Danio rerio: one gene and its partner. The protein of the gene in region 1 binds, or shares a complex with, the protein of each later gene. Links are inferred from orthologs where the notes say so. Each region holds a gene or a part of one and is shown in the gene's direction. Other genes may lie near its edges.

Evidence for each region.
Region 2: adrm1 (region 1) and psmc6 share a complex: the UniProt entries of both Homo sapiens proteins name them as parts of the 19S proteasome regulatory particle complex. The link is inferred for Danio rerio from reciprocal best matches to the Homo sapiens genes ADRM1 and PSMC6.

The regions. Positions count from the first base shown.
Region 1 is NC_133198.1:9,689,884-9,693,834, forward strand, and holds the start of adrm1 (proteasomal ubiquitin receptor ADRM1), read left to right. Parts: upstream 1-1,151; 5' UTR 1,152-1,298; intron 1,299-1,738; 5' UTR 1,739-1,743; coding exon 1,744-1,953; intron 1,954-2,031; coding exon 2,032-2,148; intron 2,149-3,951. UniProt on the Homo sapiens protein: Component of the 26S proteasome, a multiprotein complex involved in the ATP-dependent degradation of ubiquitinated proteins.
Region 2 is NC_133195.1:9,929,041-9,933,223, forward strand, and holds the start of psmc6 (26S proteasome regulatory subunit 10B), read left to right. Parts: upstream 1-1,383; 5' UTR 1,384-1,406; coding exon 1,407-1,491; intron 1,492-1,864; coding exon 1,865-1,944; intron 1,945-2,049; coding exon 2,050-2,089; intron 2,090-2,174; coding exon 2,175-2,227; intron 2,228-3,936; coding exon 3,937-4,004; intron 4,005-4,121; coding exon 4,122-4,183. UniProt on the Homo sapiens protein: Component of the 26S proteasome, a multiprotein complex involved in the ATP-dependent degradation of ubiquitinated proteins.

The DNA.
Region 1 (3,951 bases):
TGCTAAATTTGACATCATGCTGCTTTGTTTACCGCAGTATTCAAGGCAAGACCATTATTTCTGCAGATCTGTAGGAGCCAACCTGCTGAATTTAGAAGATTTAATAGATTTGTATTCAGTATATGAATAATGTTTTAGTTTTGGATTAATTTCTTGCCTTAATATTTAATAAATAAGTTAAAATCTCGCCAGTGTTAAAAAGTAGTTATAAGATCTTAAAAGTATAGAAAAGTCTTAAAGGGTATTGAATTTCACTCTCAGATTCCTATATATATATATATATATATATATATATATATATATATATATATATATATATATATATATATATATATATATATATATATATATATACATACTCTGAAATGCAATTCTTTAAAGTTTTGAATGGTAAAAATTACATTATTCATGAAAAATTATCTATAAATGTATTAATATTATATATTAATGATGTTATAAATTAATCTCTTGTTAATTTAAATAGATTTCACTGTTTTGTGGGAAGTTTTTGTCATTTGAGACTAAAGTGTCAGGGTGAGATGATTGAATATAATATAATATTAATCTTATACACTTATTCATTCATTTTTCTTTGACTTAGTATCATTATTAAGCAGGAGTCGCTACAGCGGAATGAACCACCAACTTATCCAGTACATGTTTTACGCAGCGGATACCTTTCCAGCTGCAACCCATTACTGTCAAACACTGATATACTCTTGCATTTACACACATACACTACGGCCAATTTAGCTTATTATGCACCTATAGTGCATGTCTTTGGACTGTGGGCGGGGGAAACCGGAGGAAACCCACACCAACATGGGAAGAACATGCAAACTCCACACAGAAATGCCAACTGACCCAGCAGAGGCTCGAACCAGTGACCTTCTTGCCGTGAGGCGACTGTGCTAACCACTGAGCCACCGTGTCGCCATTCTTAAATATTATAACTTTTTTTTACTGCTATGTGGGGATCTTCAAGTCTTTGGCTAAGAAAGAATACAAGCGGCACACTCACAAAATAAAGTGTTTTCATGACGATTTACATGGTGAAGATCTGTAGAGAGAAAATAAGGATCTTCATCTGCACCCAATGACACAGCAGCTGCTGAATGACATGTTCCTCAGCCAATCAGATGTTGCCCTTTGTGGAACATGGCGAGCAGGAGACCGGAAGTCGCTTAGTTTCCACTTTTCACCAGTAAGTCTATCTGCAAATCTTCAGAGAACGAACCCTCAGGATCAAAAAACAAAACCTGCTGCTGAAATCAACGAAAGGCTAAACTCATCCAGCGGTATGAATTACTTTTAACTCGCTTTGTAAATATATGAATTATAGCGGCATGTTCTGTTCAAAGACGCACCAGAAACAAAACGCGCAGTCATGGTGGAGCTGGAGATATTGAAGCGGCTGCTAATGCTAACTAGTGTAGCGTTTCACAAGCCAGACAATAAAAAATTAGATAGGTTTTTAAACTTTAATATGAAACAATGTCAAATATACTATTATATTACATGTTAATTTAACATGCGTATATTTTCGCAAAAAGCAGGTCAATTGATGTTTCCTGAAGCTAACTAGAGTGCTAATAATTCTTGCTGACTGACTGTGTTGTTTCCAAAGATAAGCTCTAAGATTTTGAACAAAAGTATGTGTGTGTATATGGCTTCAGACGTTGTCTAAATGTGCTGTCATGTTGTAAACGTGTAACAGTTTGTGTTTTGTGCCCTTTAGTGAAGATGTCATCTGGAGCTCTGTTCCCCAGTCTGGTCTCTGGATCCCGCAGCTCATCCAGCAAGTATCTGGTTGAGTTCAGGGCTGGTAAAATGACCCTGAAGGGCAGCACTGTGACCCCAGACAAGCGCAAGGGCACCGTCTACATCCAGCAGACAGATGATTCACTCATTCATTTTTGCTGGAAGGACAGGACCTCTGGAAATGTGGAGGATGTGAGGCCTGTTTACAGTGAATGGTTGGTTGATAATGCTGAATATATCAGTACCTAAGTCTTGATTTTTGTGTTTTAGGATCTGATCATATTCCCGGATGACTGTGAGTTTAAACGGGTGAACCAGTGCACTACAGGACGTGTGTATGTACTGAAGTTCAAGGCTGGCTCTAAACGGCTGTTCTTTTGGATGCAGGTGAGTAAAATGTTGTGCGATGCTTGTTAACATGTTTCAGATGTGCTGAATACAATGCCATGCTTCCACCTGGAATTAAAAGGATGGTTCACGCAATTACGAGTGCTTCCAAACCTTTGTGAGTTTCTTTGTTCTGTTGAATACTAAAGAAGATATTTTGAAGAAAGCTGAAAACTTGTAACTGCTGACTGTTTCTGCTTGTAAATAATGAAAATGTATCACAATAACAGGTGTATATCTGCAAAAAAAAAATCTTTCTTAGTTTTTACTTTGTTTTTAATCTAATTACATAAAAATCCTTAAATCAAAGACGCAATTTCTAGACAATCAAAAAATGCATTCACCAGACACTTTATTATGTACACCTTACTAGTACCAGGTTGGACTCCCTTTTGCCTTCAGAACTGCCTTAATTCTTCATGGCATAGATTCAACAATGTACTGGAAATAATCGGCAGAGATTTTGGTCCATATTGACATGATAGCATAATGAAGTTGCTGCAGATTTGTCGGCTGCACATCTATGATGCGACTCTCCCATTCCACCACATGCCAAAGCCAAAGGTGCTCTATTGGACTGAGATCTGGTGACTGTGGAGGCCGTTTGAGTACAGTGAACTCATTGTGATGTTCAAGAAATCAATCTGAAAATGATTCACGCTTTATGACATGGAGTGTTATCCTGCTGGAAGTAGCCATCACAAGATGGGTACACTGTGGTCATAAAGGGATGGACATGGTCAGCAGCAATACTCGGGTTGGCTGTGGCATTGACACAATGCTCAATTGGTTCTAATGGGCCCAAAGTGTGTCACAAAAATATCCCCCACACTATTACAACACCAGCCTGGACCGTTGATACAAGACAGGATGGATTCATGCTTTTATGTTGCTGCCAAATTCTGACCCTACCATCCGAATGTTGCAGCAGAAATCAAAACTCATCATACCAGGCAACATTTTTCCAATCTGTTGTCCAGTTTGTGAATTGTTGCCTCAGTTTCCTGTTCTTAGCTAACAGGAGTGGCACCCGGTGTGGATTTCTGCTGCTGTAGCCCGTCCGCCTCAAGGTTGAACGTGTTGTGTGTTCACAGATGTTCAGAGTTCTGCATACCTCGGTTTTACCGAGAGGTTATTTCAGTTACTGTTGCCTTTCTATCAGCTCAAACCAGTCTGGCCATTCTCCTTTGACCGTTGGTATCAACAAGGCATTTGCACCGACAAACCAGTAAGACCCTCACTGGATATTTTCTCTTTTTCGGACCATTCTCTGTAAACCCTGAAAATGGTTATGCGTGAAAATCCTAGAAGATCCGCAGTTTCTGAAATACTCAGATTGTCCTGTCTGGCACCATCAACCATGCCATGTTCAAATTCACTTAAATCAGCTTTCTTCCCAATTCTGATGCTCTGTTTGAACTGCAGCAGATCGTCTTGACCATGGCTGCATCCGAAACTGCATACTTCCATACTATATAGTGCCCCATTATGCCCCGCGAGAGAGTTTATGAATGGGACTGAAGTGACGCAACCGACGCAGGTAGGTCATGTGACCATGACAGAATGGCGGATGTCGTACGTCCGAATTCCATTCATACTTTTCACATTAATACTGTATAGATCGTACTTTTCTAACGGCCGAGCAGTACGTTTAAATTTAAATGCAGTACCTACTTAGTAGTAGGCAGTTTCGGACACAGCCATTGTCTACATGCCTAAATGCATTGAGTTGCTGCAATGTGATTGGCTGATTAGAAATTGGCTTTAATGAGCAGTTGGACAGGTGTACCTAATAAAATAGCA
Region 2 (4,183 bases), on another chromosome or scaffold:
TATATTAAAACATTACATCCAGATACACAATAAATAGATTCTTATTTACATATCACTTTGCATGATAATGTCATTGCGTAATAACAACTCAAAACAAACAACTTTATATAGTATACAAAATAATTAATGTTTTCTCAAATTGACTGGCCATCTCAGCAAAAACATTATTTGAAATATGTCCATTTAGATGTTTATGAAAAATAAAGTAAACTACATTTGGAACAACAATATGGACTATTTGTAAAAGTAATACGTTCATTTTCTTTTCGGCTTAGTCCCTTTATTAATCTGGGGTTACCTCAGTGGAATGAACCGCCAGCTTATCCAGCATGTTTTTATGCAGCGTATGCCCTTTCAGCCACAACCCATCACTGGGAAACAACCATACACACTCATACACTATGGAAAATTTAGCCTGTACCCAATTCACCTGTACAACATGTCTTTGGACTGCAGGTGAAACCAGAGCACCTGGAGGACACCCACGTGAACACAGGGAGAACATGCAAACTCCACACAGAAACGCCAACTGACCCAGCCGACGCTCGAACCAGTGACCTTCTTGCTGTGAGGCGACAGCACTACCTACTGCGCCACTGTGTCACCAAAAGTAATACAATTATTATTTTTTGTATAACACTGATAGCGAACAGTTACATTCTTTTAAACAATCACAGCTTGTGTACTTACTCTTTTTAACTTGTGAAATTAACACATTTGTGAAAGTGACAACAATTATAGTACTATTGCATTTTATTGCCACCTAAATTACCAACATTCATACATGTTAACAAATATCTTTAAATTAACAGTTATGAAAAACAATCTGAGCTAGCAATTTACTCTACTGAGTGAAGCCTGCAGCCACTGCTCCTTTGAGTCACTGTTTAAAAAAATGCTAAAAGTAGACAAATGAATGTTAAAAATTGCTACATTTGTTGCTAGTTGCTTTTCGAAAAAAAAAAAAAGTTGCTAGGGTAGTATGAAGAGTTGCTAAATCTAGCTACACACTTGCTAAATTGGCAAAACTTTGTATAACCACAGAGCATAGAATCACCCAGAGGTGACATTCTAGTACAACTTGGTAAACAGCCACTAGATGGCGCGGCGGCCATTTTGGAATAAAAACTCCAATAGAACAACAGCAAATTATGTCTGTAAAATAAACTATTTAAAGTGCTGATGATTGTCATAGTAAGTGTTGTATTGTCGTTTTTCGGGTTGTATCTCACCTTAAATTAGCCTTTTAAATAAATCATTGAAAAACAAATCAGCTGCTTGCCGCCTCAAATTAACACTGTATCGCGCTGTTCGTCCAGCAGGGAGCGCTGACGCGCCTCGGTTTGGTTTGTGACGCGCTACTATTAAACATCACGAAGAAGCGCGAGAGCGAAGCGGCAGTGAACATGGCGGAAAACAGGGAGAAAGGTTTACAAGACTACAGAAAGAAATTACTGGAGCATAAAGAGATTGACGGGCGCCTCAAAGAGTGTAAGTTCGATGTTTTTCTGTTCACGTCAGACTGTCATTGAGCAGTTTGACATCTTCATAGGCTGTTGTTTGCGTTATCTCAGCAGCCTGTACTGTAAGTCGCTTTGTCATGCAGTGCTGAAATCAATTAGCCGCTAATGGTAACAGCTGAAATAATCCATAGATCCCCTTTAAATTCATAATTAGAGACACACAACATGATTATACGTATCTCCCGATCTGAAAACATCATATATTATAAAAAAAGAGCCTTCAATACAGCTGTTTTCCAGTATCATGCTATCTCACGATAACATTTAGCATCTCTGACACATGAAGCTGATGGAAGTTGAACTTAATGTTTGCACATGTAAATAAACGCTCTGTGTTGCAGTGAGAGAGCAGCTGAAGGAGCTCACTAAACAATATGAGAAGTCTGAGAATGACCTGAAGGCTTTACAGAGTGTGGGGCAGGTAAGATCTGCTCTGTAAATCATTGTTTTTCTTATTTCCACATTAGGGATTTGACTATATCAGTGCATTTATAACGTTATTTAAATTGTTGCATTGTCTTTGTAGATTGTCGGTGAAGTGCTGAAACAGCTGACTGAGGAGAAATGTAAGGCCAGATTCTCTTTATTGAGCTGTAGATAATTATAGTTTGTGTCTATCTGTTCATTGTTTAATGTATTCTTCTTTTGCAGTTATTGTTAAAGCAACTAATGGACCACGATATGTGGTTGGATGTCGCAGACAGGTGAGCATGTACATGCATACGCGCACACATACAGTTTCAGTAAAAAGTTTTGAAAAAAATTACTTTTTTGTTACACTCATATTAGGTTTTCACTAATGATGCTGAAAATTCCAGTCAAATTATAGAAAAATACCGTTTTAAATTGTATCCACAAAAAATTAACTGTTCAGCTATTATATGTTTGTTAATCTTTTACAATAGTAGTTTATTGTATTGATGGTCAGATAAATCCATTATTTATCCAGCGATAAAACCATATGCAGATTAGAATTTTCAATATTAAAAAAGTAATATCAATTCTAAACGTGTGTGTGTGTGTGTGTGTGTGTGTGTGTGTGTGTGTGTGTGTGTGTGAGTAAAAGTAATTTTAGAACGAAAGAAATAAAGTAATCTCAACAGAGAATTTATTAAACTAAACATTTAGGTCCAGTCAACAAAGAGACATGTTTATTTGTATGTGTAAAACCTTTGTATCATATTGCTGTTTCGTCAAGATTGATCTGGTTTATAAATATGATGACGCACAAAACAGGGGCGGAAATGTGCGCACGCCACTTCTCACGCAAAAATACTGATCTATATTAACTTATTTACCTTAAGTAAAAATATTAAGTAAAATACTGACCTAAATGAACCACTTTAAATCATCATTTGAGCCATAATAATTTAATAAATAATTAAAAATTTTGTTCTAAAAGTATTCTGGTGTGAATTCATTTTTAGAAAGGTTTCTATGCAAATTTAGACTAGTTTTTTAATTTAATTATTTTTTCTTTTAAAGTACCAAAGTGGATAAATGTCAAAAATAGTTTGTCTACCAATAATGCCTTTTATTATGTCTACCAATAATGCCTTTTATGTATGTATGTATATACATACATACATACATACATACATACATACATACAAGTATATAACTGTTGATTAATATTTTCATTGGCTAAACTTACAAATACAATTTTGTGTCTTAAATATAACACTACAATAACTTACTATGTTCTGAACTGTTGTATGTTTGAACTCATGATATTTTCAATAAAAGAAGCCTGTGTTTGTTATTGAACTTAATATTGAGAAAAAAGACAAATGCTTCTAAAATTAAAATGTGAAAGTATCAAAATAAACACAACAGTATTTTGTAGAGAGATGCTTGTAAAGCTAATTAAAACCTAGATGTTTTTTTTTTCAGTTTGATATTTAAGTATGTTTTATATAGCTCATAATTGAGGAGATTTGCTTTTTTAAGTTGGAGGTCTAAACTAAAAATACCATGCAGCTTGGTGCAGTCTTTTGATTTTTAAATGTCAAAAGTATGATGGAAAATCTTTGAGAATGTAAAAACTGTTAATCTAGATGAATGAGATCTTGTATAACTGCAAAGCAGATTAATTAGAGTTACATTAAATAAATATAAATGTTATCAGTCTACTTCTTCGATTAATATGTATTTAGTTTTAATAGTGGACAATCAGGGAGACATGAGTTGTTTTCAGTCCAGTAAGGACTGAAAGGATCATTAACAGCCTAAAAGTTATGCTCATGTTTGATAAAATACATTAGTTTAAAGTGGATTTGTTTTTGTAATTGGGTACAGTAAGCTGTATAAAGATGGTAATAATAATGATAATGATGACAATAATAATAAGTATAATGTGTGTGATTTTTAAAAACCTATGTCTCATTATGTGCTCATATTTTCTTGTTTTTAGCTGGATAAATCCAAGCTGAAGCCTGGCACTAGAGTGGCTCTGGACATGACAACTCTCACTATCATGAGGTAAGTCTCTCTGCTCTTTGGGCATAAACGATCATCATTTAATGTTCAGATCTTTTTATTTTTATTTATTTATTTATTTTACACAATAAACTTATTTCTAAACACTTCTTTTTAAAGGTATTTGCCTCGTGAGGTGGATCCTCTAGTGTACAACATGTCCCATGAAGACCCTGGTAGCG